Nothobranchius furzeri: one gene and its partners. The protein of the gene in region 3 interacts with the protein of the main gene of each other region in a pairwise test. Links are inferred from orthologs where the notes say so. Each region holds a gene or a part of one and is shown on either strand. Other genes may lie near its edges. The genes, in order: spred1, bccip and cdkn1a.

Region 1 (11,079 bases), on a different chromosome or scaffold from region 3:
GTCTTTTTCCCTGAAATTTAGACATCTCGCCTCGGATTGGCCAGCAGCGACTCTACCACTGACTTTGTTTGCTCTGCAACGTGGATGTTTTTAACGCATTAACTGCCAGCCATTTCCTGATCAGAAAAGCCCTTCACTGCCAGCTTTTTTCAGCATTTTCACTGTTTTTTTAAGAGTCACAGAACATTGAGCGCTAGGATGATGTCAATGCCAAAACTACCCAAACAAAGAGGAGACTCACCTCTTACATCAGGAAGAATCTGCGCGCTTCGAGCATTATCCGTTCTTTCATAATCCGTTGTCGAATTGTGATCGGCACAAGCTTTTCCGGTTTGCGCCTCACTTTTTTTACAGCAGCGGCCCAAAACGATCTCCTAACACATGGATTTTCTGCTTCCTGATCACGTGACATGTGACGTACACATATGAAGATCGGCTTTAGAGCTGGGATGTTCTCACGGTGTGGGGGCTCATTCCGACACCCACACAGTAAAAAAAAAAGAGCAAATGACGACTTTAGTCGTCATTGGCAGTAAACAGTTGGATTTAAAATGACTTTTGTCATCAATGGCAGTGAATGAGTTAAACACAAATAACACAAGCCTGGAGGAGTTCTGCTGTGTCGTGGAGTTGCTAATGCGAATGGTTAGCTTCTACTAGCTGAGACGTTCTCTGCTGTTTCCTGAACACTAAAACAAAAACCGCCTTCCCCGTCACGAGTCAAGTTGGCTGGCTCCATGAATGTGACAGTGTGACGCAGATCTGTCAAGATTTTCAACTCTTAGTGTATTTTATATCAGAAGGTAATGCAGGAGATAGGTGTAGGAGACACATTCTGAGACCGACACAAATTGAGTGATTCAAATAAATGGTAAATGGCCTGTATTTGATATAGCACCTTCTAGAGTCCTGGAACCCCCCAAGGCGCTTTACAACACAATCAGTCATTCACCCATTCACACACACATTCACACACTGGTGGGGATGAGCTACAATGTAGCCACAGCTGCCCTGGGGCGCACTGACAGAGGCGAGGCTGCCGAGCATTGGCGCCACCGGTCCCTCTGACCACCACCAGCAGATAACGTGGGTTAAGTGTCTTGCCCAAGGACACAATGACAGCGACAGACTGAGCGGGGCTCAAACCTGCAACCTTCCGATTACGGGGCGAGCACTTAACTCCTGTGCCACCGTCACCCCAATATATGTAGTTCTATGAAATAGATGATAGCCAACACAGATTTAGAGCCTACTAATAGCACTGATTCAGTGGAAGATGGGAGGAACATTTTGTGTCACTTCATACAAGACAAAAGAATTAATATTATCATGAAATAACTTATTAGTTTGGTATTTTATGCTTATTTCAAGGTTATATTTTTCATCAGTATTTTACATTACTAGAACTTCTAAAATAATACACTGCCTGTAGTAATAATAATAATAATAATAATAATAATAATAATAAATCTGGAACTCATTTGCTGTTTCCCCTGGAGTGAATGTTTCTGTGATTCATTCATTAGATTAGTTTATCTGATCCTAGTTAGTTTGTAATTTTTTATTTTTGTCAATCTCATCAATCGTTAGGAGAAACTTCCAGTCACCTTTTACAAGGTGCCAAGTGCTTTCACATGAAGAAAGAGCTTCAGATTTAATGCTCCCTGGCTTTTAGAGTAATTACTAACCCAGACCCAGGATATTGAAGTTTGGCAAAGGCGTGGAAGGCTGGAGACCAAAGGTTAGCGTTATTGAGCCGGCTAAAAGAGGAGGCATTAAAGGACAGGAAGCAACTGTTCAGCTTTTGTGGCAAGAGCTCCATTTTATTCATTGTAAACGTTGAGTTATTGTTAATGAAATCTCTCAGTATTCAACTACTTTTGGGAGGGCATTCCTCTCAATCACCTCATTTTCTGTGACATCATGTGAGCTGGCTAAACTTACACGGAATGGTGTATCTTAAGACATCCAGTCATCAAGTTGAGGGCTGTTTTTCTCTCTCATAGCTCTCGAGTCCTCGTCTTTAATATGTTACCATTCATTTGTGGAAAACACTGCCCTCGGCGCACCTTGACCTTTGTCGTTTCCGATGGCCCAATAGGCTGTTATCTAATCAGGGAAACGTATGACTTCAAGCAAGAAAGCAGGGAAAACAGTAAAATGAATGAGACCTATATTCATATTTGAAATATAAAGTTGTTTGTCTGTTTTGTTAGCATGTTTCATTTGGTGAGTTTATTGCCATCTTAGAAGTTAAACACCCATTTTTAAACTGTAAATAGTAAGTGAGCAGCCTGTCGCAGATAAGCGCTATAGGGAACTGCAAAGTGCAACAAAGAAAAGCACATTTTGTTGTCATTTTCTGATGTGACATCTTGTGCATTTGTACTAGTCATTTGTAAGCAATCAGATGACGTGATTGATAGTTTGAGGCTGTCTTACAGGGATTCATTTGTGATTGAAAGGGATTGTGATCCAGAGCCTGCTGTTATGTTCTGTCTGGTTTAAACCTGCTACCGATGCAAATTTGGAAATCAGAAGTTTTCACAGACTGAACTTGACCACATGGTCAGTCACCCTCTGGCTCAGGTTAAACATACACCGACAGCTTCAGACAAATATAAGCATAAAAACTAGGGGTGCACGGATTGCAGTTTTGGCCGATCACCAATCTTGTGAAAACCTGACTTGCCGATACCGATTTTTGCCCATACTGATTTAGTCTTAAAGGGACTTTACAGAGTTTTGAATTTTCATGCTCGCGATTGCCCCCTCAGGACAAAAGCGTAACGGCAATAGTAGGTTCGTGCACGAGGCGCGAATGCTGTACGTGCACACTCCTTAACGAAAATAACAGCTGAGACAGTCCCGTGTGTGTGTGTGTGTGTGTGTGTGTGGCCCGGAGGACAGAGGACAGGAGAACACGCAGCTAATTAATTAAATCATTTGGTTCTGTACCTTTCTCCTCAGCACAGCCGACAAAGGTTTAAGATGGGTCAGTCTTCCTGCATACTCAGACCATTCCCTTCCCTTGCTTGAAAATTGTTCCAAAATGAAAGTTGAACCCACATCTTTTTTTATCTGTGAATTCAATGCCGTTCGGCGAGTCTCAAATAAAAGTTTAGGCATCTTACTGTAAAAAACAATATACCATTAATGTAAAAAAGAAACTCTAAACGAACTATGTTCACATCCAGTTTCGAACCCAGGTCTTCAGTACGAGAGTCCGACGTCTTACCAGGTGAGCTATAGCGCCAGTGACGTGTCTAGTACCTGTAACCTTTATATCCTTGATGACAGCTGAAACAATGTTCAAAGAACGGTTCGGAGCGAAAATGGCTATTTTGTTGCTAATTTGCAGGAAATATCTAGAAGAAAGTTCTACAGAATGTAGCTAAAGCCGGACGTACACTGTGCGACTTTTTCACTCGTAGCACTCAGCTTCAGCTCAAACTGTACGACTTCCTCGCAGGGCAGATCTCACGAGTCATGCGCTCACACTGTACGACCCAGTTCTCGGATGCGACCTGACTGCTCACACTGTACGTCTGGTAGCAACACGTCGGCCCTAAAAATATGCTAAAAATAGCAGTTTTTACTCAACACGTCAGACTTTTTTGTCTTGTTTTGCCTGTTGTCCTTCGGGAGTGCTGCAGGAGGACACACAGGGATTTATGGGGGTTGGATGAGTAAAACGAAATGAAGAAAGTAAATCTGTGTTTTGTGATCAGTTTAATTTGACATGAACACGACTAACACGCTTTCTTGACAATCTTTGTGAGTAAAAAAAACGTGTAGAAACAAAAATGAACAGCGTGTGTTATTAGGGAAATAGCGAGCGAGCGGCGTTGATGCAGGATTGCGCATGCGCCGTGAGCGGTTCTGATACATTTTGGGTCGCAGCTGCTCGCAGCGCCGCTTCAACAGTGCAATACCCTCACGAGGGATGAGCAAACTATTAAACACGCCAGAAGTCCGTGCGAGCTCACGATTGCTGATCGGTAGCTGGTCACTTGGTGTTAATCGCCTCTCATAACCCCCTGTACACTACACGACGCTCGGCGCAAAACTCGCCCCGATCAAGTGGATTCTCGCACGAGTGGAAAATCGGCTCAAAAAAGTGAAAAAGTCGCACAGTGTACGCCCAGCTTAAGGGTCCTCAGAAATGTAGCTAAGTTCATCACTAGGCGTTAGGAATAGGGATGAGTACCGAATTCGGTACTTTTTAAGGTACCGACCGAATTCCATAGTACCGACCGAACACCGATTCACGTCATTTCAAACGGTGCCTCGTTTCGGTACTGCCAAGACAGTTGCGCATGCGCAAGAGCGTTATGTTGCCGGTCCCTGCGAGCCCGTTGTAAACAGAGCAAGCATGGTAGAAAGAACGCACGCTAAAGCTTGGGTCCACTTCACTAAATGTGATGGGTAACTGGGTGATGAAACTAGCGACAGACAACGATCTAAGTGAGACATCCTCATCTTAATCTGCTCCAGTAGGTAAATAAAATGTTTAAGATAACGTTACCTTGATTTGTTAGCTTCCGTTTCGCTAATGGTGCGTTCGCTTTCTCCTCGGAACTCCGAATTTCCGACTAGAAGAACATGAACGCGCTCTAAAGTTTGGCTTTACTTTACTAAATGCGACGGGTGAATGGATGAAGGTAAAACCAGCGACAACGATCTAAGTTTGAGGCATCATCGTTTTAATCTGCTCCAGCAGCTAAATAAACTGTTAAAGATAACGTTAGCTTGATATGTTAGCTTCCATTGCCACCGTTGTTACCAGCTAATGGTGCGTTCGCTTTCTCCTCGGAAATTCTAACTTCCCAGTAGGAAAAATCAAAAGAAAAAGGACGGCAAAAGGAATGAAGATACACAGTAAATTTAGTTCACAGTAAAGATGTTTGCTTCAGTTTAATTATCAGCTTATAAAACTACAAGGACGATGTTAAAATACAAACTTGTATGTTATTTATCGTGATATTTATCAAATATGGTTATATATATATATATTGAGAAAAATATATATTTAATTATAAAAGAGAATTAAAATAATAAACACTCAAAAGTATCGAAAATTGGTACCGTTAAGTACCGGTATCGACTCGTAGGTACCGGGAATTAGTACCGGATCGATTCAAATGTCAAAGGTACCCATCCCTAGTTAGGAACAGCGAATAAGTCGCTGAGTTGGCACTACGTGAACGTGCATGAAGCAGCCTGCTCGACCCGAGCATCTCTTTTTCTGTGATTTTACAGAAAAACAGACAATCACAGTAAAAATGCCAGGGCTCATTCTACAGGACCAGGGCATTGCAGGAGAATGTATGAAGAAGAAATTTATTATTTCTATACATGTTTTGGCTGTCAAACTTCCATAATGCCCCTTTTAACTAAAATCAGATTATGTCAATGTTTCAGTTTCCTTTTATTGAGAAAACCAAGATGAATACTCATGAAAACGATGCCAGTTTCAACTGGACATGTAATGTTCTCAAATAGGGATGTAAGAAAATATCGATATGGCAATATATCGTGATATTTTTTCCATCAGTATTATATCGATATTCAAAAGCCGTGTATCGGAAATATCGATATGGCAATATATCGTGATATTTTTTCATGCGATTATTACATCGATATTCAAAAGCCGTGTATCTAATTCTTGAAATAATTTACATGCAAACTTTTGTGTATTTTCTTTTCGTTTTGTGCAATTCAATCGCCACCCGCTAGTTGGCAGCAGTGTGCAACAGGTTTTGTTTCCACCATTGAACTGTAAATCCCTCCATCATGGTTCAGATACCTCATGTTAAACATGTTACGTATCAGTTTGGACTGTTTATTGAACATTCTTACAATAAATTCAGTAAAAAAATTTGCTTGTAACGTCTGACTGAATGTATCGCAATATATCGCGAAATATCGTATCATCTCCTCTGTATCGTGATACGTATCGTATCGCCAGCATTTCAAAAATACACATCCCTGTTCTCAAATATAAACAAACATATTTAGCATTGCTGTTTGAACTACAAAATCATATTTATTCCTTTAGACTTTCATTTTTTCTAATTTAGAAAACAAACTGTTGTACCTGTTTTGACACACTTGTCCAAAAAAATTATTCTATAGCAATAATTTGCTTTAACATCAACTAGGGGTGCACCGATTGCCGTTTTTGGCCAGTCACCGATCTTGGAAAAAACTCAAGATCAGGGTCGGTAGATCCGTCGGCAGATAGATCGGTGCATCTCTAATATAAACCATGCATATACTTTTTCTACAAGGTACGATAAACCTCTTTAGGTTGGTCCTGTGTGTAATTTTATGCATTAGATACAAGGTTAAAGCTAGCTTATTGAGTCTAAAATCAATCTATAAATCTGAGGCTGAGTAGGTCTGATGATGCTTTTGTAGTTCTTGTGACATCATTAAAAAAAGAATCCCGTTAGAAATTAAATGTATTGTTTTTGTATGAATTAGCTAACCATATTGTTTTTTTTTCTCCATCCCTCCCCCTTTGCCTTATTCCCTCCTTCCTTCCCAGTGACAGTTATGCGCGTGTGAGAGCAGTGGTCATGACTCGGGATGACTCCAGCGGTGGGTGGCTCCCCTTGGGGGGTGGAGGCCTTAGCTGTGTCACTGTCTATAAGGTCAGCCGGACAGAGGACATCAGCAGCACCCACAGTGGAGGCAGCGGAGGAAGTGGCAGCAACCTCAGCCCTGGCAGCCCCAGCCCCAGTCCCAGTCCGAGTCCCACCGTCGTGGAGTTTCACATCAGGGGCGAACGGCTCAAAGACAAATTGGTGAGACAATCTCAAATGTCCTGCTTTTCATTTTCACAAACAGGAAATGGTTTGTTCTCTCAATGCTGTGGACCCCAGTTTTCCAGACACCCTCCCTTCATCTCTCTCGTGCACACTGACACAAACAGGAAGTGGGTTTTTTGGCCTTCCTCCGTCGCTCAGTCTTCTGAAAATAGGAGCAAACAGCATAACGCTGTGATGCATGATGATGTCATCAGACAGAATGTGGGAAAGAACATGGATAGAATATGAGTTTAGTATTTCCACACTTTTATTTCCTGCCTTTTAATAGCAAAGCACCTTTCTTCTTAATTCTTAATATTGTCACCCAGCCTGAAGAGCATGTTTAGCTGTCTCCAAAGGATCAAAGGGTGTAGTCTACTGTCACTTTATTATTTACGGCGTTTGAAGTAGCTGCTCATGAACTTTTTGTCTTTCTGTCCTTTAAATGCAAGACAGATCCAGTAGACTGGCTTTAATAATCTGTGGTTTCAAGGGTGTAAATCTATTTGTGTGAGAAAAGCTGCATTCCAGGAGGCGAACGAGGCCACCTCGATGCTCAGAATCTGGTGATCCCAGACAATCTGACAGCAGAGGCTCGTAACAGGGGCGTCTGAGTCACGGTTTTTAATCTTCTTCCACTGAACTCACTTCATGCTTATTGCATCTGTGACGTTATCCAGGCGCGTGTGTGGCACAGAGAAGGGCGTGATGAGAATTCTGTTGTCCAGACATGGAAAAGACATGGCTCAGAGACCCCAAGCAATTGTGATGGGGATGTGGTGAAACACCCCTATCAGCGCCAGAGTTCCCAGCCGCCACAACAAACACCAACCCATATGTAGGTTAGTCAGGATGCCACCCAGGGCTGGGGTGTCAGCGTCAACCACAGCGCTACCAACTGTCTGGGGGCATCAGAAGAATCAGCGGCTACAAAGAAAACCACATTAAATGCTAGCCTTGGTTTAAAATAAAAATCCTTGTTGCCACAGTGATTTCTTCTAATTGGTAACACCGGTGTTTTTATTTAGGACCTAAACAAGAGACTATAATTATGTCATATGAGTGATTTCTAAAACTGAAAGAGTAAAGATGGAGTGGGTTTTTATAACTCTGGAAGCCATCTTTAGTTTGTCTGAAACATAGAACAGGAACACAGGCTACCATATTCTAGCTACGTCTAATTTATGTTGACGAGAAGGGTTCCTTTTCAGTGATTAATCAGTTTGGAAATGGACAGAAACACTTTTCTGTTTCTAGCAGCTGAAAATAAAAGTCAGGAATGCAGTTACTCCAGAGGAAAAAAGGAAAAGTGTGGTGGTAATTGTGATACATACGATGTCACAAAAACTAGAAAAGAGTCATTTGTCATGAAAGAGCAGGAAATGGAGGCGGAGCCATACGGATGGGAGACAGAAGAAGCGAGTTGGAGGGGTTTTGTCTGTAAGCGCAGTGATGCGGCGCAGAGTGTGCTGGTGATGACTCAGCTGGCTCTCTATATAGCTACCAATCACTCTCCTACTCCCTCCCTCCAGTCTGTCTCTCTCTCTCTGATTCTTCGGTCGATGATAACTTGCCATACCAGCTCTCGGATTATGACAAATCTCTGGCTAATCTCCCTGCCACTCCACCTCGCTTTCTTTCATTAGCAGTCGTTGAGTACCTCTGATTGATGCAGCTGTGAATGTGTCGTTGCCAAGGCTTCCTCTGAATAGCTTTACCTTGCAGCCCAGGTCTATCTGACACAATGCGTTTCTACAGTTAACCTTGCTGTTTTAGAAATGACCACAAATCACTCATCAGCCTATATTCATTACGAACAAGTTTATTTTGCAACACCTCTGGATGTCTCTGTTAACATGTCCTGCCTGTGTGCTCCTTCTGTCTTCTTTTCTACAAAGGTAGCTCCTCCTCCTCCTCGCTTTTCTTTGAGCACATTGTGGAATGCGGTGTTAAGTGTCATCCTGCCATGCAACTGTGATACTTTTTTCCCTCTGTCAGGCCTTGCAGCATGCTCACCTTACCTGCTCTGGCTCCATTCAGTCTCGCCTCTACAGTCACCCCCCCAGAGGCACCTCGAACCCCTCCTCCCCCGCCACACTTCTTTGCCACCCCATCTTCTCACATCAATTCTTCTCATTTTCCCTCCTTTAGGCTGTGGCAGGTAGTGACACGGGGACTGAGTTTATAAAACCATATTGGCATCTACTGCTTATATTTTGAACGCACCAGCTCCAGCAATGATCCCGTGAAAACACACACACACATTCACACCTTGTTAAGCCTCCTCTCGTGCATGTCAGTGAAAACCTCGCGGACCGTAATGGCCATGCCTCATTTCATTTAATCTGCCTAGAGGAAGGCCGGGAGACGGCCAGAAGCCCTGATTAGGGAAGGTTTTAGAAGCACATCCTCTCTTTCTGCTTGGCTCTTGGGTTTCCTGGCTTCAAAACATCCCATACTCCTCTTCAACCTACTTCAAGACAAGCTTGTGTTTTAGAGATTATTCTAAAATTGACGAGAGATGACTGAATTCGTTGTCATTTTTCTTTCTTTTGAAATTCTAGACTTGCACATGCCATCCCATAACCAGAAAGAACACATCAGAACAGATGTGACACATTAAAGCGCATCAGGAAGTAGGATGATGGATTAAATGTGCATCAATGTATAAAGTTAATCCTGAAACCATTAAACCAAACAGTGACATCACAAATGCCTAGCTGACTGTCACAACGGTGTGTGTCCGTATGATTTTAGGTGGTGCTGGAGTGTGTTCTACAGAGAAACCTGGTGTACAATAAGGTCAACCCCATCTTCCACCACTGGAGAATCAATGACAAGAAGTTTGGGCTGACGTTCCAGAGCCCCGCTGACGCTCGAGCCTTCGATAGGGGCATACGCCGAGCCATCGAGGACATCAATCAAGGTGTGGGCATGTTACAATAGAGTCTTGTGTGTGTCTTTGCGTTTTAAAGCAGGTCAGACCAGATCAGTCGGTTGTTACTCAGCAAAATGTTCCTTGATTTAAAAATACTTTTGCTACTGTTTTTTTTAGCCCGATCAAAAACATCTAAACCACTTCCAGAATTCTCACTTCTCTTCTCGTCTGATCCGATTTGTTCAGAATTCACTCCCGAGAGTTTGGCCCTCACTAGCTTCAGGTTATTGCCGTTAACTTAGACATTTGAAATAAGCCGAATGGCTTTTTATGAATGCACCATTGACATTTATTTCTGCCTTCTTCTGTTTATGTCTCGTATTGGCCAACCTCTGTTCTAGAAGTGATGCGAAGCTTCGATAAGTGTTGATGACTCCACCGTCACTTCTACTTGTTCATTGAACCCAATCGTGACACCAGCTCGTGATATCATATCAGTCCCAGCTGCTCGGATAATCTCGCTACTTCCTGCAGGGACTGGCTGCTCAACGCTTTGCCTGGAGAAGGGATGGTATAATACAAATGCGGGTAGGAAAGGGGTGAGATAGGGGCTGAACTCAGGAGATCTTTCATTGAGCTGGATTATTATTATTTTTTTTTTGTGAAGTAATTAAAAAAGGTAAAGGCTAGTAGTATAATATGTAGTATTCATAAGTTTCCTTAAAAGATTACTTAGATTTTGCTGTGCGGAGTTCCTTCCTAATAAGCAATATTTTTATTGTATAGAAGCAGAAGTTGCAAAGTCATCCAATTAGTAGAAGTGTTGCTAGCTCAGCAATCTGCTACCCAGCCCCATGTTACACAAGAGGTGAGCTGGCTAGCTGGGAGGCTATTATCTCTCTCTCTCTCTCTCTCTTTTTTTTTTTTTTTTTTACGTTTTAGACCTTAGAACCATAGGGAGTGTAGAGGAGATCCAACAAAACCTATCATAAACGCTTATCACAGCTGGGCATCAGTCTCCTCTTGCCCACAAATGCTTATCTGAGGTTTGAGGATCTGGGCACAAGTCCAGGCAGCGTCTAGGTAACAGGAAGTTTTACGGCAACACTGGCTTAGCGGACTGCTTTTCTCGTAAAATAAAATATGAAGCAGGAAAGAAAACATAAAGAATTGATTTTAATGAGAGTTTTTCTTTACCAGTGTTATTATTTGAGCTTATTCTTCAGATTGTTTTTATTTATTTATTTTTTCAAAATAAAGACTAATAATCAGCTTGTTGATTTAGTAATGTTTAAGTAAAATAACAAAAGTGGCCTATTTCTTTGTTCTGTATTAGAAAAGAGAAATGTTTCATCTTATACTTGGAGTCTGGTTTCAGTTTCAACA
Region 2 (11,708 bases), on a different chromosome or scaffold from region 3:
GATCTTTACACCAGTGACATAAACAAGCTTTATCTTTACATTAGTGGCATAAGCAAGATTGAATATTTACACTAGTGACATAAACAAGTTTGAATCTTTACACTAGTGATATAAACAAGTTTGAATCGTTACACTAGTGACATAAACAAGCTTGATCTTTACACTAGTGACATAAACAAGCTGGAATCTTTACACTAGTGACATAAACAAGCTTGATCTTTACACTAGTGACATGAGCAAGTTTGAATCTTTACACTAGTGACACAAACAAGCTGGAATATTTACACTAGTGACATAAGGAAGCTCACATCTTTACACTAGTGACATAAACAAGCTGGAATCTTTACACTAGTGACATAAACAAGCTTGATCTTTACACTAGTGACATAAGCAAGTTTGAATCTTTACACTAGTGACATAAACAAGCTGGAATCTTTACACTAGTGACATAAGGAAGCTGGAATCATTACACTAGTGACACAAACAAGCTGGAATCATTACACTAGTGACATAAACAAGCTTGGTCTTTACACTAGTGACATAAACAAGCTTGATCTTTACACTAGTGACATAAACAAGTTTGAATCTTTACACTAGTGATATAAACAAGTTTGAATCTTTACACTAGTGACATAAACAAGCTGGAATCTTTACACTAGTGACATAAACAAGCTTGATCTTTACACTAGTGACATGAGCAAGTTTGAATCTTTACACTAGTGACACAAACAAGCTGGAATCTTTACACTAGTGACATAAGGAAGCTGGAATCATTGCACTAGTGACATATGGAAGCTGGAATCATTACACTAGTGACATAAACAAGCTGGAATCTTTACACTAGTGACATAAACAAGCTTGGTATTTACACTAGTGACATAAACAAGCTTGGTCTTTACACTAGTGACATAAACAAGCTTGATCTTTACACCAGTGGCATAAGCAAGATTGAATATTTACACTAGTGACATAAACAAGCTTGAATTTGCCACAAACATTCTGAATTTACAACAGATTTTCTCTACACCATTACTGATGTAAGCTATGTTTCTTGTTCCAAGAAATAGCATCTCCTCACAGTCAAGAGGTGCATTTTGAAAGTGTGTTGGCCCAAAAACCAGAAATAAATTTGTAGTGTGGCTATTTGGGCTCAGCCATCCATGCTTTAGCAGAGCTGGCAGCTCAGCGAGTTACTATTGTCGGAGTTTGACCCAGTCCAACAGGACCAGAAAAGAGGCCAGCTCATTAAAGATTGTACAACACATCTAGTTTAATGCAGCACTATAAGAAGTGGAAGTACAAGCCAAACATACTGTCATGTATTTTAAATGTTGCTCACTTTGCTGCAATAGTCTTTTATTGGTCTAAATTATCTTTATTTTAATTACTTCATTTAAAGAAAAGACAATGCATATTTATGAACAGCATTACAACTGTAAATATGCCAGATTGTAGCCTTAGGCTAATTTCCATCTGCAGTCCTCTGGCAGGTTAATGTTAAAAGAGAACAATATACATTTAGAAGAAAAAAAACAGTCAGGAACATATTTTATGAAAAAGACAAGAGTAAAAACAAATAAGTGTTCAGTTTTGTTATAAGGCAAAAGACAAAAAGGGATTAATCTTTTACCCTCACAAGGTTTTACCGTCAGATCTGGAGAGCCGCATGCAGGCATAGGCATAGGAGCTGAACAAGCTTCCAGCATCAATGATGGAAATTTGTTCAAAATTAGGATCATCTTGTCAGTCTGGCCCCTTAAGTTCATCTTGACTTCACAGCCAGAATGAGCTGTACTTATAGTTTATGTTGGTTCTTGTCCTTTAGAACCAAATGGCTTCCTGCACCGGCACAACTCAAAAGGCGTTTCAGTGCCCCAGAATGTTCCAGCGTGCTGAGGGGGATCACCTCACCCTCATGTTTACACCTTCAAAGCCAAAAACTCCAGTGTACATCCTCATCCATTCACAGCAATCTGTAGCTTTAAATATCTGACTTATAATAATTAGTTTACTCAATGTGAATAGATATTAGAATAAACATTAAGTTTTGTTCTTTGGTTGAAGTGTCTCATAATGACTGACAGATCTGAGTTGAAAGTGGTGTCAGGATTATTTTCTGGACACCCTGATCAGGATTGAGCTTCCCATATCGTGACCCTGCTTTGGAACCAAAGTTTCCCCTCGTGTGAGTTCATTCATCAGTTGTAGCGGATTAGCATTTCCACTTATATTTGTAGTTTTTAAACTTACTCTGAATTCCTTGATAATGCTAATTTGTTTTATTCCTCAATTGTTGTGATCTCTATGTGCAGTAGCGACTTCACGTTTTATATGTTGGTATGATTTTCAGGTTCAAATAGCACTAATGCATTTCTTCTAAATGCTGCCTCCTAGTGAGAGTAGAGACAAACAGCAGGTCCTGTTTGTAACCCTAACCCTACACAGAGAAACGATCCGCAGTGATGTAAGCAGCAGCTGCGCAGCAGGGACTGAAGTGTGATCAAGTGAGCTGAAACAAACTATAAGGGGTTACCAATTTATTACACGTTAAAAGTCTTTATGCAACATTCAACTTTTCAGATGGCAAACTTGTTAAATGGGCAACAGGCTATTGAACACCACTCTTGCAGCATCTAAATGTTTGGCCTGCTGTCTCCTTGACTGTGATTGATCAAAAGACTTGTGACCCACAAAAATACTTTAACAAGATAAACTCCACTCCTTTCTCTGATAATGGATTATTATAAAAGAGACTGAAACCTGACAGAAGAATCTGTGTTCAAACAGAGCGCTTTGACATCATTTTAATCCAAGTGGAGACACCAAAATCATAAACGGTCATTTTAAAGCTCATAAGGGTCAGACTAAGTCTAAACCTGACAAATTGTACACAGCTGCCCTTTGCATTTACAATTAATTGACAGTTTGTAGTCATTTTTAAACAAAACCCACTTAAAACGGACACTTTTGAAAGTAATCCTGCTTTTGATCAACTGATGAGGCTGCAGGTCTTCACCGTGTCCTGAAATGTCTCAGACTGTCAGGTATTCCTTCAGTTTGTCCATAACTGCAGGTATTCTGTCTGCGGGGACCAGCATCACCGTCCTGAATGGCTTCATGGGAACGTCGTCAAACGACCACCTGCCACTCAAACACGAGTCTGCATCATCCTGCACTGAGTAGTGGAACTTTATGATGGCTTGCTGCAACAACAAACCCATCAAAGACATTATTATTAACAGTTTGAAGGTAAAACGCTCAAGTTACTGATATAAACTCCCCTGTATGTGATCACGTATTTAAACAGAGAGCATTCACCTCGTAAAAGAACTCCTCCTCGGCATTGACAAACATGTACTCCTCTTTAGGAGCTCCTCCTCTGGCCGGGACGTTCTTGGCAGCTTCTTTGCACGTCTTGCTGACCATCAGGCAGTAATGACACTTCTCACTGGGTTTGTTGGTTCTCTGAGCTTCAGCCATTTCTTTCCTAAAAAGGACATGATGAATTTAGTCATCAACAAGCTTGGGAGATATTTAAGCCATTTCAGTTAGCATGAAAATACTAATTTGGGCTTGGCCATTTCTCTGAAATCACCAAACTTATTTTTAGTTTTGCAGAATTAAATGTATTGAGGCACTGTTTCATTTCATTGATTTTCCCCACAGATCCCAAAGAAGGTTAGTGTTTAATCATTTATTTTAGGCAAAAGCTGTTTTCTTCTTGCACTGAGAAACGTCATAAGGACAGATTTAACTTCATGTAATTTTTGAACTATGTGCTTGCTGTAGTTTTCTGGGGCAGCAGCATCAGCACCAGAGATCTCAGCAGGTTCAACAAATGCATTAATAAAGCTATGAAAATTCATCTGGCAGAGCCTGTAGATGTTAGGGTCTGTGACGATCCATGAATAAACTGCTTTCATATATAAACACATCCTACTGAGACTGGAGCTATTTTATGACAGATTCATTCAGATCTGCCGTCAAAAGTAAGGTCATGTTCTACTTGACTGCACCTTTATGTAGAGAATAAATGTTTCACCCACATGTGCACATGATCATTACGACAAATGTCAATGTTGATGGATATTATTTTAAGTTCTGAGAGTTACTTTTTTTCCGTCTCTGGCACCGTGTTGTAGGGCTGTGTTGGCTGACGCAGCTCTGCAATATCGCGTGGACATCGGGGACAGTCCCACTGGACTGGCAGACCTGGGTAGTGGTTCCCTTATTTAAAAGGGGGACTGCAGGGTGTGTTCCAACTACAGGGGGATCACACTCCTGAGGCTTCCTGGTAAGTTCTATTCAGGGGTTCTGGAGAGGAGGGTCCGTTGGATTGTTGAACCTCAGATTCAGGAGGAGCAATGTGGTTTTCGTCCTGACTGTGGAACACTGGACCGGCTCTATACCCTTAGGGGGATCCTGGAGGGTGCGTGGGAATTTGCCCAACCAGTCTACATGTGTTTTGTGGATTTGGAGAAGGCGTTTGACCGTGTCCCTTGGGGGGCCCTGTGGGGGGTACTCCGGGAGTCTGGGGTACCAGGCCCTCTGATAGGGGCTGTTAGGTCCCTGTATGACCGGTGTCAGAGCTTGGTCTGCATTGCCGGCAGTAAGTCGGGCTCGTTCCCAGTGAGAGTTGGACTCCGCCAAGGCTGCCCTTTGTCACAGATTCTGTTCATAACCTTTATGGACAGGATTTCTAGGTGCAGCCAAGGTGTGGAGGGCATCCGTTTGGTGGCCTGAGGATCAGGTCTCTGCTTTTTGCAGATGACGTGGTCCTGTTGGCTTCATCAGATCGTGATCTTCAGCTTTCGCTGGAGCAGTTCGCAGCAGTGTGAAGCAGCTGGGATGAGAATCAGCTCCTCTAAATCTGAGACCATGGTCTTGATTCGGAAAAGGGTAGAATGCCTTCTCCAGGTCAGGGATGAGGTCCTGCCCCAAGTGGAGAAGTTTAAGTATCTCGGGGTCTTGTTCATGAGTGAGGGAAAACTGGAGCATGAGATCGATAGGCGGATTGGTGCTGCATCTGCAGTGATGCGGGCGTTGTACCGGTCTGTCCTGGTGAAGAGAGAGCTGAGTCAGAAGGCAAAGCTCTCGATTTACCGGTCGATCTACGTTCCTACCCTCACCTATGGTCATGAGCTTTGGGTAGTGACTGAAAGAACGAGATCGCGGATACAAGCGGCCGAAATGAGTTTTCTCCGAAGAGTGGCTGGGCTCTCCCGTAGAGATAGGGTGAGAAGCTTGGTCATTCAGGAGGGGCTCGGAGTAGACCCACTGCTCCTCCACATCAAGAGGAGCCAGTTGAGGTGGCTCAGGCATCTGGCCAGGATGCCTCCTGGACGCCTCCCTGGTGAGGTTTTCTGGGCACGTCCAACCGGGAGGAGACCTAAAGGTAGACCCAGGACACGGTGGAGGGACTATGTCTCTCACCTGGCCAGGGAACGCCTTGGGATTCCCCCGGAGGAGACCTGGCCCAAGTGGCTGTGGAGAGGGGAGTCTGGGCCTCTCGCCTTAAGCTACTGCCCCCGCGACCTGACTCCGGATAAGCGGATGAAAATGGATGGATGGATGGCACAATGTTCTTGTAGTGCTGTTTCTTTTTTGTTCTTCAGAGGAACTTCTTATTCTCTCTGGTGATTATTTGTTGATAGGAGCCTGTAAGTGGTTAGACTGGGCAGCAAAAGAAGCACTCACTGGAGCTGTGTATGCAGAGGGAGGGCGATCTGTGGAGGCACATTGATAAAGCGCTCACTCAGCAGAAGTCCCACAGGTTTGCTTGTGTCATTTAAGATCTGCTCCAGCTGTTCAGTCACACTGTGAGAAGCATTCTTCTCACACTGATCCAATATCAGCTCCTTGATGTCCTCCACACACCGCACGCCCTAAAAAAAAAGAAAAGCCACAACCTTCAAAATTAAGTTAAAAATTCACGTATTTTACTCATCTTCAGAGATTACCTACCTTTCTCTCTGTGAGGTTGAGCATAGCAATAAATCCAAAGACTTCATCCGGGTCATCATCATCACTGTCCTCTGGAACTTCAGCTTGCTAGAACCAGATGAAGGAGGAACGTAATCAGAACAGGGGATAAAATGCAGCGCCTCAAAGTTTGGGACTGGAAAAAAACGACTCACTTTGATGACGCTCCCAATATGATTCTGCTGGATGATGATGTCCGTCATCTCTGCTGTGTCTACACGCGCCTTCAGGAACAGCTGAGTCCAAACTAGTAAAGATTAGTGACAACTATTCGTGACGCTTATGTGACAACAACACACAGTTCTGCACCTGCTGCAAAAGCTTCTTAATGCCACTGAAGTCGTTGTTTGAAATCGCATGGGCTTCAAAATCCACCACGACCTCCTGCAAGTAGAGAAGAAAAAAAATATGCATTTTAAACCAAAAATGATTATGTCTTCATGATAACATCACGGACATGCTAGCTAGCGGGTAGAAAGGCCACGTGGGTTTTGTGGATTAGCCACCTCGTCGATTTCCTCCTCTGACGCCTCGCTGTCGTCCTCTCCAGACTCGCCGTCATCCTCCGGACTCTCATCCGAGCTGTTGTCGCTTTCTTCGGGATTCTCACCCAAACCCACTGCTCTCCTCTTAGCGGATGAGGCCATGATCAAGCGTGAAACCCGTGTATATTTAAGTAGGCGCTGCTAAGGTTAACGGATAGCAGGAAACTGGACACGTTCGGGCGCCATTTTGGCTCAAAATGACTGTGGAATGGGCGTACACCCGAGAAGATCCGAACAGACGTCGACTCCATGTTGGCTCACGCGACTGAACCATTTCCTAACACTGGGGAAAACGTTGTAAATAATATATTGGAATAAAATAGAAAATATGTCTCTAAAATATGTGACATAAACACTAACTTGCATTAGATGACCTATTTAAATGTTTAAAATGTAAATATAAAACATTTTCTAATTTTACATAGATTTGGGGAGACATTTATCGACAGGCAATTTTTGGACATCTTATTTTTAAATGCCAATGAAGTCGTCCGATGAACAGCTGAAGGTGTTCATTCTTATGCATGTATATATGTCGATGTTATGCAGTTATTTCGTCTTTCCAACCGCATATTGTTGCAAATATAATTGCGCAATTAATGTTAAACAAAAACTATTAACGTTTATAGCTGAAAATCGACGTATTTTTGGTTAAACTGGAACGTTATCGTGGCTAATCTGTCAGTGTGTTTTGCAACAACAACAACAGACAGACCGCAACAACAGACCGACGTGCCCAACTACGCTAAAGCGGATTTTACGATACAAGTTGACGTTATTGTTAGTTTATAATAGTTTAGTGTATAATCTTTCCTATTCAGGGATCGTGACTCAACAGTGTTGCTATCTGTAGGTTGCATGTGACCGTTTCTGGGTGTAGCTGAGCTACTTAAGTCTCCACACCCTCTGATTTAACTACTTTAAATTTCTGAAAGCAGCTGATACCTTTCTAACAGATGTCAAAACCCACCTTGTGTTATTGGCTCCGTTGAACTGTCTTTTATTCATTGACAGGATGCGTGTTTTGCTTCTTAAAGACCCCAGAGATGGAGAGTCTGGACCTGATCCTTACATTAAGGTAGAAACAGTTTAACCAAATCAATGACGTGGTTTTAACTAAACACACACTGCTTTGTTGCTATGCTTTTTACTCTACAGGAGCTGGAATCACGTGGGCACAAAGCAACCCTAATTCCAGTGTTGTCTTTTAAGTTTATCTCAGCAAACACCTTGTCAGATAAGGTAAATTAAATAACATTATCTGAACCAGTGTGTCATTTACCTAACTTTCTATGGCTGCACGTGTAAACCACTGATCATTTTAATGTATTTATTTCATAAGCTTCTTCAACCAGAGAAACACGGTGGCTTGATATTCACTAGTCCAAGAGCGGTGGAAGCTGTGAAGCTGTGCTTGGAAGATAAAGATAGGAAACAAGGTCAAAATGAAACAAGCATGATTAAAGCATTAGCGTGTCTGTGTGCCAATTCTGCTTGAGAATTTTAATAATATTATTTGTAAAACAATATTTTTCATCCAGAGTGGAACAAATCATTGAAAGACAAATGGAACAGGAAATCCATCTATGTGGTTGGGAAGGCTACTGCAGCTTTAGGTGAGTTCTTAGAGCACCTGCAGACACCTTTTTTCTAGATGTTTTTATGGATAGTGCACGTTATAAACTAGTGAAAGATGCAGCCGGGTGTGACGAGCACCTGGTGTTCATACATGTGCGTAAAGTAGTGTAACTACCTTCAGTTTGCTGTTACACACAAGTGGCAGTAAGCTGTGAACCACAGAAACTGGATTTGATCTGGAAGACACCAATCAAGTGTAAAACCTTCCTAATGTTGGTTTTACCTTGTTAGTCTAGTGGCAGCTGACTCCATTGTCAGTGTTTGATTGTAGGAAGCCCAAGTCTCCTCCTTTTCCAGTCGGCTCATGGGTCTCTAAGAAAAAATAAATGCAAGTAGATGGGGCTATAAGAGCTGTATTCTAATATGCTTTGCCTTACGCCCTGAATCACTCATTTGTTGTGATTTAAAAATAGCTAGAATGTTTTTTTACATACGTAGACAAGACCTGTAAAAACCCGTTTTTTAAACATTTCTGTTATAATCTTTGTGCTTTTTATGATTTCAGTACAGAGCCTGGGTCTGGAGCCCGAGGGTGAGGACACGGGGACAGCAGACGTCCTATCACGTCTCATCATCGAAAGTACGATGTGGTTTTTGTTCTCTCATTTTTTACACCTCTGTATAATCATTTAATTGTTCTAATCTCTGAAATGAAGTGATATTTGATTCATTTCTTAGGAGAGGAAAAAAATATCCCACCACTTTTCTTCCCCTGTGGTTCAATTAAAAGAGAAGTCTTGCCCACGGCTTTAAGGGAAAATGGTAAGATTTTCCCTCTTTTGTGTCTCACGATTAAAGCTCAGGTCGGCGAAATACCCTCTGGGGTTAAGCTAATTAACAAAATAATAATTGCACTACCTTTGTCACATTGGGGATGTGTTTCTTTGTTTCCAGGGGTTCCCCTGGAGACTCTGACTGTCTATCAAACTACTGAACATCCAGATCTGGAGAAGAATCTAAAAAACTACTTCACAAAGCAGGTGAAACTCCCAACTCCTCTTTTATTTTGATAAAAACATAATTTTCATATATAACCAGTGTTTATTTGCTTTTGTGTTCTTAGGGTATTCCAGGGAGTGTAGGATTCTTCAGTCCGTCTGGGGTGAAGTTTTGCCTGGAAGCTGTAAGGAGGCTGTCAGGTGAACAGCTGACGCAAATTAAGGTAAAGTTTCCTTATGGTCAATCAAAAATATATGAAATGGATGATTATGGAGCATGCCACAGGTCTTCAGCGCTCATTCTGTTTCCAGTTTGCAGCCATAGGGCCCACCACACGAGATGCTATGGCAGCAGAGGGTCTGTGTGTCAGCTGCACAGCAGAACAACCAACAGCTCAACACTTGGCTGCAGCGATAGCCGACGCTCTTCAGTAATCAACCAGACAAATACACTTTTTATTGTTTCTCATTGTTTTGGGATTTTTTTGTCATTGTTTTGATGCCCTTTTCTTGATTTTGCACTGAAAAATGTAGTTTAGCCATTTTTCTTTCATCTCAGATTTGATTAAAAATGTATTTTAAATTATTTTTGAAAATAAACCTTAATCAGTTTGACAAATCTTGCGTAAAACATTTCTGTGTGTGTGTGTGTGTGTGTGTGTGTGTGTGTGTGTGTGTGTGTGTGTGTGTGTGTGTGTGTGTGTGTGTGTGTGTGTGTGTGTGTGTGTGTGTGTGTGTGTGTGTGTGTGTGTGTGTGTGTGTGTGTGTGTGTGTAAGCAGGTGTTGGCAAAAGTGTTTTACATCTTTTATTGCTCAGATGAAAGTGAAGGTGTCCACGGCTTGGTGACAGTTTGTTGAAATCATCGCAGCATGAATGACATGGAGGTTGGTCAAACTGATGAGTTTACTTTTCACGCACAACTGAGGAAAGTGTAACCTCCAGACAGTCCCTCCTCTAAGATGGGTGTGGAGAAACATTTGCTTATAAAGCAGTGCTGCTCCTGCTGTTAGTAAAAACTAACGGCACGATGCTGACTTCCATCCAGCTGATTGCTTTGCTCTTTCTGACCATCCCAAACAACGCGGAGAAACTTTTCCATAATCGGGATCACTCTGATGTTCAGATCCTTAAAACTCACCAGGCTCCTGTTATTACAGATGAATACAAAGCCGAGGTAATTTATAATGTGTGTGTGTGTGTGTATATGTATAAATATATGTTTGTTTGTTTTTTACCAATTGTATCTATAATAATAAACAAGCCAGCTCTGGGTCTTGCTTTAGTTATTTCTCTCTAGATATGGATTCATCAAGCCGATTAACTGGGAGGAGATCCAGACGGAGAGCTCCGACACTTATTTCAGTGAAGACATCCTGGATGATCTACAAGCCAAAATTCAGGAGGGGACCTCAGTGCCTCATTCAAGAGATGGTCCCGGAAGTGGCACTCATGATGTCCATGTGAGCCAAACTGGGAATCAAGCATTTATTTCAGCACTTAAAGAGTTCCAGAGAGTTTCAGATCTGCCTGTTACAGGGGTGTTTGATGAGGCCACCCAGGAGGCGATGAACAAACCGAGGTGTGGAGTCCCCGACAAGGAGATTGACGCCTACGTAGAGCCTGAGAACACTGATGGACCAGATACCGAAGACAGTCTGAGTGACAGTTTTAATGAGACAGGCATCAGCAGCTCTAATTCCTCTGATGATGACATTTTCAATTTTAATGATACAGATACTCTTCTCGTGGGTATTTCAAATGATACAAACAGGAACAGCTCCAGTTTCAGTGGTTTGGATGGTCAGATGGGGAAAATTAGTATGAACGCAAGTCTGAGTGACACAGTTAGACGCAGGAAGCGCCACCTTTCCAGTCTGGTGTCAAAAAGGCGGCAGAGAAGAGACCTGGATCAAACTGGTTTCATTGCTTTTTCTAAGAGTGTACTAAAATGGCGGCTGATCGGAGAAGGCTACAGCAGTCAGCTGAGTATCGAGGAGCAAAGGTACATCTTCAGACTGGCTTTCAGGATGTGGAGTGAGGTGTCACCACTGGAGTTTATTGAAGATATTAGGTCACCTTTGGAGGATGTTGATATCAGGCTGGGCTTTGGCACAGGTAGGCTTCAGAGGACACATCTTTCATTTGTTGGAGTTTAGAAAATGTGTGTGTGTGTGTGTGTGTGTGTGTGTGTGTGGGTGTGGGTGTGTGTGTGTGTGTGTGTGTGTGTGTGTGTGTGTGTGTGTGTGTGTGCGCGCGTGTGCTTGTCTGCAAAGTTGCAAAATAATTGGGACAGTTGAATTTTGGTTCAGTGCTTTGTGTTTTTGCTGTTGCTCACCAAAAGTACACTTTGGCACAGTGACAGTTACCAGACTTGAGAAGGCTTCAGTTGTATGTAATGCCAGTTGTAGAGTTTTATTACTCATCATTTGTCTGCATACAGGAAGGCATTTGGGATGCAATCAAAGGTTTGACGGAAATGGGCAAGAATTTGCCCATGCCTGGTTCCTTGGTGATATACACTTTGATGATGATGAGCATTTCACTGCTCCCAACTCTCACAGTGGAATCAGCCTCCTTAAGGTAAGTGTAGGTGTGCTGGATTGA
Region 3 (8,193 bases):
GTGTTTTTCTCCCCAGAAGAAGCTACAATGATGTTCTGCTGAGCTGTGGTGGCCTCATGGAGGGGGCCATCGTCTAGCACACTGCTGCTAACCACTAATACATTCTCTCTCTCCTGATAATAACTTTTTGCTTTCCTTGACGTTGGATGTGCTACTACTAGTTTACCCGTTTAATTATAGATTCACTAGGATAAATACAATAAAGTTTTTCTCTCGCCAAATAGAATATTTACTAAGCAATCACAATGTAACCATAGACACATGGCTTGGTGTGTGTGTGTGTGTGTGTGTGTGTGTGTGTGTGTGTGTGTGTGTGTGTGTGTGTGTGTGTGTGTGTTCTGTCTTCTCGATCCCCAGTGAGTCGTGGAGGATGGCTGCTTATACTGAGCCAGGATCCTCTGGAGGTTTCTTCCTGTTAAAAGGGAGTTTTCCTCTCCACTGTCGCTACATTTTTGCTTAGTATGAGGATTGCTGTAAAGTCACTGACTTGATGCAATTTGCTGGGTTCCTTATATAGGAAACCTTTTACTGATTGGCTTAATGAACTGAACTGCATTGGGATGCTTACTGTGTGAAGTGCCTTGAGACGACTTTTGTCGTGATTTGGCGCTGTATAAATAAAATTGAATTGAATTATAGTTTAAATTTTATGATTATATTAACCCAGCTTTGAACTGCTCTATTTGGTTAAAAAAAGCAACCAATTTATTTCACATTTCAAAATAAAATGAACATTTCTCATAATTAATACTTGCAAAATGGAATGATTGGAAAAGTGACAAAAACAATTCACAAGACAGCCAGTTTTAAACTTTATTGAAATTTAAAATGAGCATAAACTAAATTGACACAAATTATGACATATCAATAAATAAAACACATTAATTTGAAGTTTTTACCAAAAATTGCATGTAGAGCATTTAATAACAGAAGTGCATTTGTTGTTTGTGGAAGTTGGTGAACATTTTAAAGTTCAATGCGTAAGAGATTAACATTACAGGACCTTGTGTGTCACCATTCAGATTTTCCATAGCAGCAGGATTTGCCGGAACAGAGATAAAAAATAAAATAAATTATACCCTTTGTCTGGTAAAATTGCACTTTGCTTCCAAATACAATACAATAAAGCATGTGGTTACGTACACTAAAACACTTTCACCCAGTTGTCCTTTATGGAGCTTAAAATACTAAAAACACATGTGCCACAAAGACATGTAAAACACCACCCTCGGATTTATGTGCAACACTGCAATGTTTTTGACTTACAAATATAAACAAACAAACAAACAAAAGCCTAACTGTTACTACATCATATGTGTCCTACAAATGTTTTAGAGACATGATGCTACAGATATAACCTACATTATCTGAGTCTAAGCAGGGCAGTTGTGGAGGTTTAAACGGTTTTAAAAATCAGTGGATGAGATGGAAAAAGTTGGCACTTCTGCTGATTATAGTCTAAGCAATGCAACCACATGTTTAAGGATATATCACAACTCCATAAGCCGTTTTCCGATGACTACGTAAAGCAGAGGTCCCCAATCCTGGTCCTGGAGGGCCGGTATCCTGCATGTTTTAGTTTGAATTCTGTTTCAACACACCTGATTTCAATCAGCAGCTCATTAACAGGCTTCTGCAGAGCCTGATGAGCTGCTGCACAGGCGTTTCAACCACTGAATCAAGTCTGTTGGAGCAGAAAAACCACAAAACCTGCTGGATACCAGCCCTCCAGGGCCAGGATTGGGAACCCCCGATGTAAAATATAATGCACTTAAAAAAAAAACTCCTATAAAAAGACGTAGAAAAACAATTATAGATTTGAACAAAATAGACAAAGCTCTCCTGTTTTTAGCTTTCCTGCGGCTTTGCCACAGAAACGTATTAATCTGAGTCCTGATATTTGTTCGCACGTCTGCTTTTCATCCTCAAACAGGCAGAAGTCCCACCAAACTGAGATGTGATTGTGTTTTAACCCTCTGGAGGCAGGCATCGCAGATCTGCAACAGTTAAAACCTACCTACCTGGTTACTCCACACAAGTATCTCATGAGCATTTTTTAACTCAGAAGCACCCCTGAAGGACTTAGTTGTTCGTCCTTTTATCAAAACGAGACCGAGAGGGTTAAGAGCTGTGTGACGCGCCGTAACAAATGTCAGTCAGCAATTTGGCGAGCTCTCAGTCCAAATGAGTATAAATCCACTGATTCCAGAGATTACTGTTAATCTTCTCTGCTCAAATGTCACCTTCTTAACTGCAGCGTGGACAGAAAACACCAGACCCCTCACACATGCAGCATCTTAATTAGCCTGGTGCCTTCTGGGTTTTTTTTTTCTTTTTTTTGTTTTTTTTTTGTTGGATGATTCAGCACTCCCGCTGCTCGGTGTGGAACAACTGATTCCTGAAGGAGGTGCTGGTTCTTTGTCTGGTTCTCTTGGGAGTTTTGGCACCTTCAAAGGAAATATCACTCCCCGGATTTCCTCGGCAGCCAGACAACTCTTCTTTTAGCCTGATAGAAATCTGTTGGGTTAAAGAAGAGGATACTTAGCTTATGAGAAAAGATGAGTGTTTCTAATTTGATATAAAAAATATCTAAACATACCTGTAATGTTTGTCTGTTTCCTCTTCATTCCTGATTTGTCTTCCGTCTCTGATGTTGTCTCCATGTTCTCCAGACTCAGAGAACATTTCTCTAGAGTTTGGGGGAAGTTCTCTTTCTCCCTCTCTGGTACCACCACCCTTCCTCTTTTGGTTGCACCTGCTGACCTTTGACCCTCTGCATGTCCTGCACAGATGACGCTGGATCTGTAGGGCAGTGGCACCCTGGTACCTGGGACAATCTCCCACTGGAAATCACCGCTCTCCAGAGGTTTGTCGGAGAAGAAGTCGAACCCCCAGCGTTGGGAAGCCTCCTCCAGATCTTTACGCAGGGCAGTCCGGTACTCCATCTGGAGCTGTTCTCGGTCCACTGGGCCAAACAGGCTCCGCCGAGGGGGACCGTTCCTTCTTAGAGTACTGAGGGCTCGCTTGTGAAGTGTAGCCATCCCTCTGCACTGTAGGTAAAAACAGGAAAACTGATTAGTTTCAAAAGCCACAATCTATTTTGTCCACAGTCTAAAAAGTACACAAACTAAATGTTTTTAATATTTTCAAACCAGTGATTTAAACAAAGTTTAGTCAGACTCACCATGGTTCTAGCCTAACAGCTCCTCAGTGAACTAGACTGCTTCTGTGAGCTGACGGGCTTTTATAATGCAGTGCAGCAGCAGCAGTGAGTCACTAGCCCTCCTCTCTGGTACATGTCTGGGCATAATCTCTCACAGGCATGTAAGGGCAAGTCCTCTGCTGTTGTGGTGTTTGGTGTAAGAGAGATAAACCACAAGGTGGCACTGTCACTCCGACTACAGACAGCTCGGAGGCAAACACCAGAGAAATAATTCATCTTCAGTTTACGTTGAAACTGAGGGAAACATGTGACTGTTTTCTGACTCTGACCTGGGAAACAGGTCATTCAGACCATCCAAGAAGGAAGGAAGCATTCAAGGAAAACAGTCCCTGCCCGTCCAGTTACGGTGCAGCAGATGAGATTGGGAGATGAATAAAATACGTTATCAGTGATTAAGAGGACACGAGCTTATTTTACAGAAGCTGTTCCAGTTATCTGCAAACGGAATCTGGAAAAATCTGCTTCAATTTGACGTGAAGATGCGTTTCAGTAAAATACTGATTAGTGTTATAAATAAAAATGTGTCAATGAAACAAGTCATCTGTTATAATCTGATATGATTCTGATTTTTATTTTCATACAAACACAAGCACAAACCCTTTTTTCTGATTCATAAAATATGAGAGTGAAATATGTCTCTATTTTAGCTTGATCTGGCTCCTATCATGGAGTTCAGTTTGGTTTGTTCATGAGAAAAAGAAGGGCCCTTTGCATTTTGATCAAAATTATCTACGTAGTAAAGTCAGTTGACTACAGTCTGTATCAGAGTTTACTAAAAAATGGGTTTGTTGGACACATCTAATGACCACTAAGACTATGTATGCAGTGTTCAACGCTCCCACCCACAGCACAGGGCTCAGAATAAAGCTCCCCAATTGTGGGTGGATCATTAGGTTAATAAAAGGGTTTGAAGGATCCCTGCTGGATCCCTGCGCTGCCCTGGTCCCACAGAGGAAGGGGGAGGGCGTTTCTTTTACTGGGCAGGGTGGTTCTGGGAGGAGTGACTCAAGCTTTGGCGGGAGAGCTAGTCATGCATGACTGAGTTGGACCCAGCCCAGTTCAGCTACAACTCTGCTCCACGTGAGTCTGGAACTCGTGTCAAACTGGGATGTCACAGTTTGGACTCACCCACTCTCTCTCTCTCTCTCTCTCTCTCTCACACACACACACACACACACACACACACACACACACACAGACATGTAAAAAAAACTAAAACCACCAAACAAGAGTTTATGGATTTCCTGGATGTGCAAAAATGAGATCGCAAAGATCCATTTATGTCAACTTTTCACACCTCTAGGAACACATTAGTCCTGTAAAAACGTTTTTGTTCTTCAAATGTTTAGAATACAATTATTAATGAGCTACAAAAGTGTATATATATATGTGTGTGTGTGTGTGTGTTGAGTTTTAAAGGTTGTGAAATCATAAATCTTACTCAGATGCTTAGAAGCTCTTTTAAATTTAACAACTACTAACTTCTTACATATAAAATAACATCTTTAATGTGTTTTACTTACATGTTGAGCCAAATCAGGTGCAGTTCGCTTCTAAATCTCCTCTCTTTTAAAGCTGTTGTCTACTGAGTCAGCTTTTCCACCTCCTCGCTGCTTGTCTCCAAGTTTCAGTGTGATGTAAGGCAAAGTTTGAGAATGAGGTAACTGATCCTAAAGCCTCCACAGATCCATAGGATAAAGAGTATTAGTGAGTCTCGGAGAAATCTACAAGTGTTCTCAAAGCCATGGACAGAGACTCCACTGACTTAAACTGGTGGGAGGAGACACCCTCCTCCTCTCAAACAGAGGTGGCGCTATCTGTCCCACGCACGTGGAATTTGTCCCAAAAACACACAAGCACACGTGAAGCTTTGGCAAGGTACTGGAGGGAATTTCAGGCCAGGACGTCTGGTCCTAGAGGTGCTGCCCCACCTCCTCTCAGTGCACATGACTGAGTGCAGCAGTATCCTGGAGACAGACACACACACACGCACACAAATGCACGCACACACTCTCCCAGTTTCTTGAAGACATTACTTTCATAGTCTGTTAATCTGATGATTTTAGGTCAAAATGTCTTTATTGTCCACCTATTGCTCACTTTTCTGAAGCCTGGAAAAAACTTTAATTGATAAAGTTTACAACAAAAAAACCCCATTCTTTAAAAAAAGTATATTCTGAACCTTTGTACAGTTGCAGCTGGTGTAAACAAACTAAACATGTATTAAAATTGTGTCAAAAATAAACACAACAAACACACCAGGAAGGACAAGTAAGCATATTTATTTTTACTAAAGAGATTTTAGTCGTTTGAATGAGCTTCTGTGTAAAACTTCATCATTAATCATGAATAATTACTTTTTTTCTGAACACCACCATCACTTTCACATGACACAGCTTTGTTCACAGAACCATTAAAGTGACGGCGTGTTTTTTCCATGGCGATAGGGGGCAGTACATATCTAAATGTGAAAAACAACTATGTTTATGAATGGCAAAAGTTTTGCTGCCAGTATTTTTCAACAACTGGGCATCATTTAATTCATTTTCAACAGCAGTTTGATGGATATTTCCAGGGAATAGCGGTAAAAACTACACTTTGTCTCTTTAAGACATTCCTGCCTGACTTGACCTCATATTCCTGGATGCATCAGAAATACACACTATGCTATTTTGTAAATAACCATAATGTTCTATACAAATGACTGTAAAGCAAAACTGACGCCAATGTTAAAACATATAAAATAACATTAAAATGAGCTGCTATGAAACCTTGGATGTTAGAGATGTTTTAACACTTTTCTTTGGACTAGCGCTTACAGCAGGATGTAAACTGTTTCTACGAGGTGAGGCTGTTCAGGTGGTAATAGCTTTTATACAGAAAACTTTTAAATGGCTGAAAAATCTCTTTAAGTGGTGTTTTGAACAAACCAGGATCAGCTGAAGAGCCTATTTAAAGTGACAATTTGTATTTTCCCTAGCGATGGGGGAGCAGCATTTTTGTGTTTGAGTGAGGCCTTAACAACGGATGGCCATTAGGGTCAAAAATCACTGGGAGCACATTTTTTTAAAATGTTTACTTCATCAGATCGTTCAACTTCCAGCAAAATAACAAGCAAATCCCTTTCATCACTGACGAGTGAAGAGGTAAATGTGTAAATCAGCGATGTTTGTGAATGGTGAAAAATTTATAACTGTTTGTTAAAACTCAGTGAATGCTTTTAGTCCTCACCGGCTGCCATAGAATGAAACATGATATATAATATGGCATCGCCCAGAGACTAAAGCTTGGTTTATGCTTGACGCATTTACTTTCCGCTTGGAACGCGGATGGAACGCGCTTCACAACTTGCAGCGTTTATGGTTCATGCGGTCTCTGTAGTGAGCCAATATTCTCCCAAACTGTAGGGGGCAGCATGGAGCTCTACGGCATGCATCCAACACTACACCATAGTAGAAGTAAAAATTACTGTTGTTTACAACATGACATTCCAGCATTTTTAACAGCGTCCTCGTCTTTTCCGACAGTGCGAGCTATTTCTCTCCAAGAATTATTAACAACATGTTGATCACGGTGATCTTTGAGAGCTGAATCATACAAATGTCTGTATTTACGAACCTCTGCCATACTAGTTCTTGCCAGTCCGCCATGTTTTTCCGCATCCGACCGTCTGCGTGGTTAGAAAATTTCCTAGGTGCGCGATGTGTAAAGTTTGGTCCGTGCGGAGGCACAGTGGAGGGGCGTGGTTGTTAAAATGATGCAATTTTGCCGCGCGGAGCCGTGCGAACCTCGCGGACGCGTCAAGCATAAATCAAGCCTTACACCCGATCCTGTGTATTTTAGACCTGATTTTTATGGTTATATGTTTCAAAGCCGCCAATATTTTCAAGAACTAGGCATCGTTTAATTCATTTTCAACAATTAGATGGATATTTCCAGAGATTAACAGTAAAAACTACACATTGTCTCTTTAAGTGTTTTAGATTATTACACATATAAGTCCTGATAAGATGAGTGACTTGTGATCTGAACAGTGAATAACAAGTGAGACTAACAACTCCAGTGAATCCACCTGTAGCTCTGAGCTCAGGGGAATCCTGCCACGTTAAGGGGCCCTGACTAGTCTGTTCCAGGCATCCAAACCCAGAGAACATTTTAATAATTACATATTGCACCCAAAAAGTTTCTCTCCACCCACTTTTGCTGTTGAAGTCATTTTGTGTTTATTCCAGTATGAGTCACCTGCCAGGCACCATCTCACTGCCCTTCAGCAGTTTCCAGCAAAACAGTGAACTGTAGTTCACCATGGCCTGGCTGCTCTCAGACCACAGTGAGTCTTTTGTTATGTTGGTGCTGATGTGGACTTGGCATCAGCAGCACAGCATAGCTATATTCTGTTAGTTTATATAGTTACTGCTGTATCCAGTGTGTTTGGGACTAAACATCAGCTGTTTTCTACAAAAAGCTGCAACAACCGAACAGCTGAGTAACCTCGTATTTCAATTGCAAAGAAGCTAGAGCGCTGAAGTTTTGAAAGAACCTAAATTACTTCATTATATGCTTAATATCATATGGCTTTTATCTTTCCTCCATTGTCCATTGAAGGTCTAGTTGGTGCTTAACTCAGTATGTAATATTAGCATAAACACTATCTTAATAATTAATCTGCAGAAGTAATAAAGTTACTTTGTTAAAAATACTGGTTTCATCATCTTCACAGTGTGTAATGCGTTGAGTATGTACAGTGCTCAGCATAAGTAAGTACATCCTTCTTAAAAAGTACAAATGTAATTAGCAGCTCAATGAAGAACAGAATTTTCACAACGCTGGGTTTTATTGAACACTTGTTTAACTCCATGAAACATGAAATTAAGATTAATAATATAACTTTACACACACAAAATCTTCAGTTTTACTAAAACTGGTTGAAGAAAAAATGAATACACCCTGCAACAAAAACCACTACATCT

Evidence for each region.
Region 1: the proteins of cdkn1a (region 3) and spred1 interact in binary tests that used the Homo sapiens proteins (3 or more experiments, as listed by UniProt). The link is inferred for Nothobranchius furzeri from reciprocal best matches to the Homo sapiens genes CDKN1A and SPRED1.
Region 2: the proteins of cdkn1a (region 3) and bccip interact in a two-hybrid assay, tested with the Homo sapiens proteins (2 studies listed by BioGRID, with this or other methods). The link is inferred for Nothobranchius furzeri from reciprocal best matches to the Homo sapiens genes CDKN1A and BCCIP.

The regions. Positions count from the first base shown.
Region 1 is NC_091758.1:26,565,079-26,576,157, forward strand, and holds part of spred1 (sprouty-related, EVH1 domain-containing protein 1), read left to right. Parts: intron 1-6,553; coding exon 6,554-6,812; intron 6,813-9,572; coding exon 9,573-9,741; intron 9,742-11,079. UniProt on the Homo sapiens protein: Tyrosine kinase substrate that inhibits growth-factor-mediated activation of MAP kinase. Negatively regulates hematopoiesis of bone marrow.
Region 2 is NC_091756.1:42,758,928-42,770,635, reverse strand, and holds bccip (protein BCCIP homolog), read right to left. Parts: upstream 6,630-11,708; coding exon 6,489-6,629; intron 6,367-6,488; coding exon 6,292-6,366; intron 6,219-6,291; coding exon 6,138-6,218; intron 6,052-6,137; coding exon 5,965-6,051; intron 5,886-5,964; coding exon 5,698-5,885; intron 3,488-5,697; coding exon 3,319-3,487; intron 3,204-3,318; coding exon 3,033-3,203; 3' UTR 2,521-3,032; downstream 1-2,520. Other genes in the region: uros (uroporphyrinogen-III synthase), read left to right, coding at 6,736-6,824, 7,542-7,605, 7,686-7,769, 7,870-7,966, 8,069-8,143, 8,671-8,745, 8,844-8,927, 9,060-9,145 and 2 more; mmp21 (matrix metallopeptidase-21), read left to right, coding at 10,132-10,278, 10,388-11,219, 11,545-11,684. UniProt on the Homo sapiens protein: During interphase, required for microtubule organizing and anchoring activities. During mitosis, required for the organization and stabilization of the spindle pole.
Region 3 is NC_091743.1:46,699,758-46,707,950, forward strand, and holds cdkn1a (cyclin-dependent kinase inhibitor 1), read right to left. Parts: upstream 3,319-8,193; 5' UTR 3,188-3,318; coding exon 3,185-3,187; intron 3,051-3,184; coding exon 2,600-3,050; intron 2,518-2,599; coding exon 2,462-2,517; 3' UTR 2,151-2,461; downstream 1-2,150. UniProt on the Homo sapiens protein: Plays an important role in controlling cell cycle progression and DNA damage-induced G2 arrest. Involved in p53/TP53 mediated inhibition of cellular proliferation in response to DNA damage.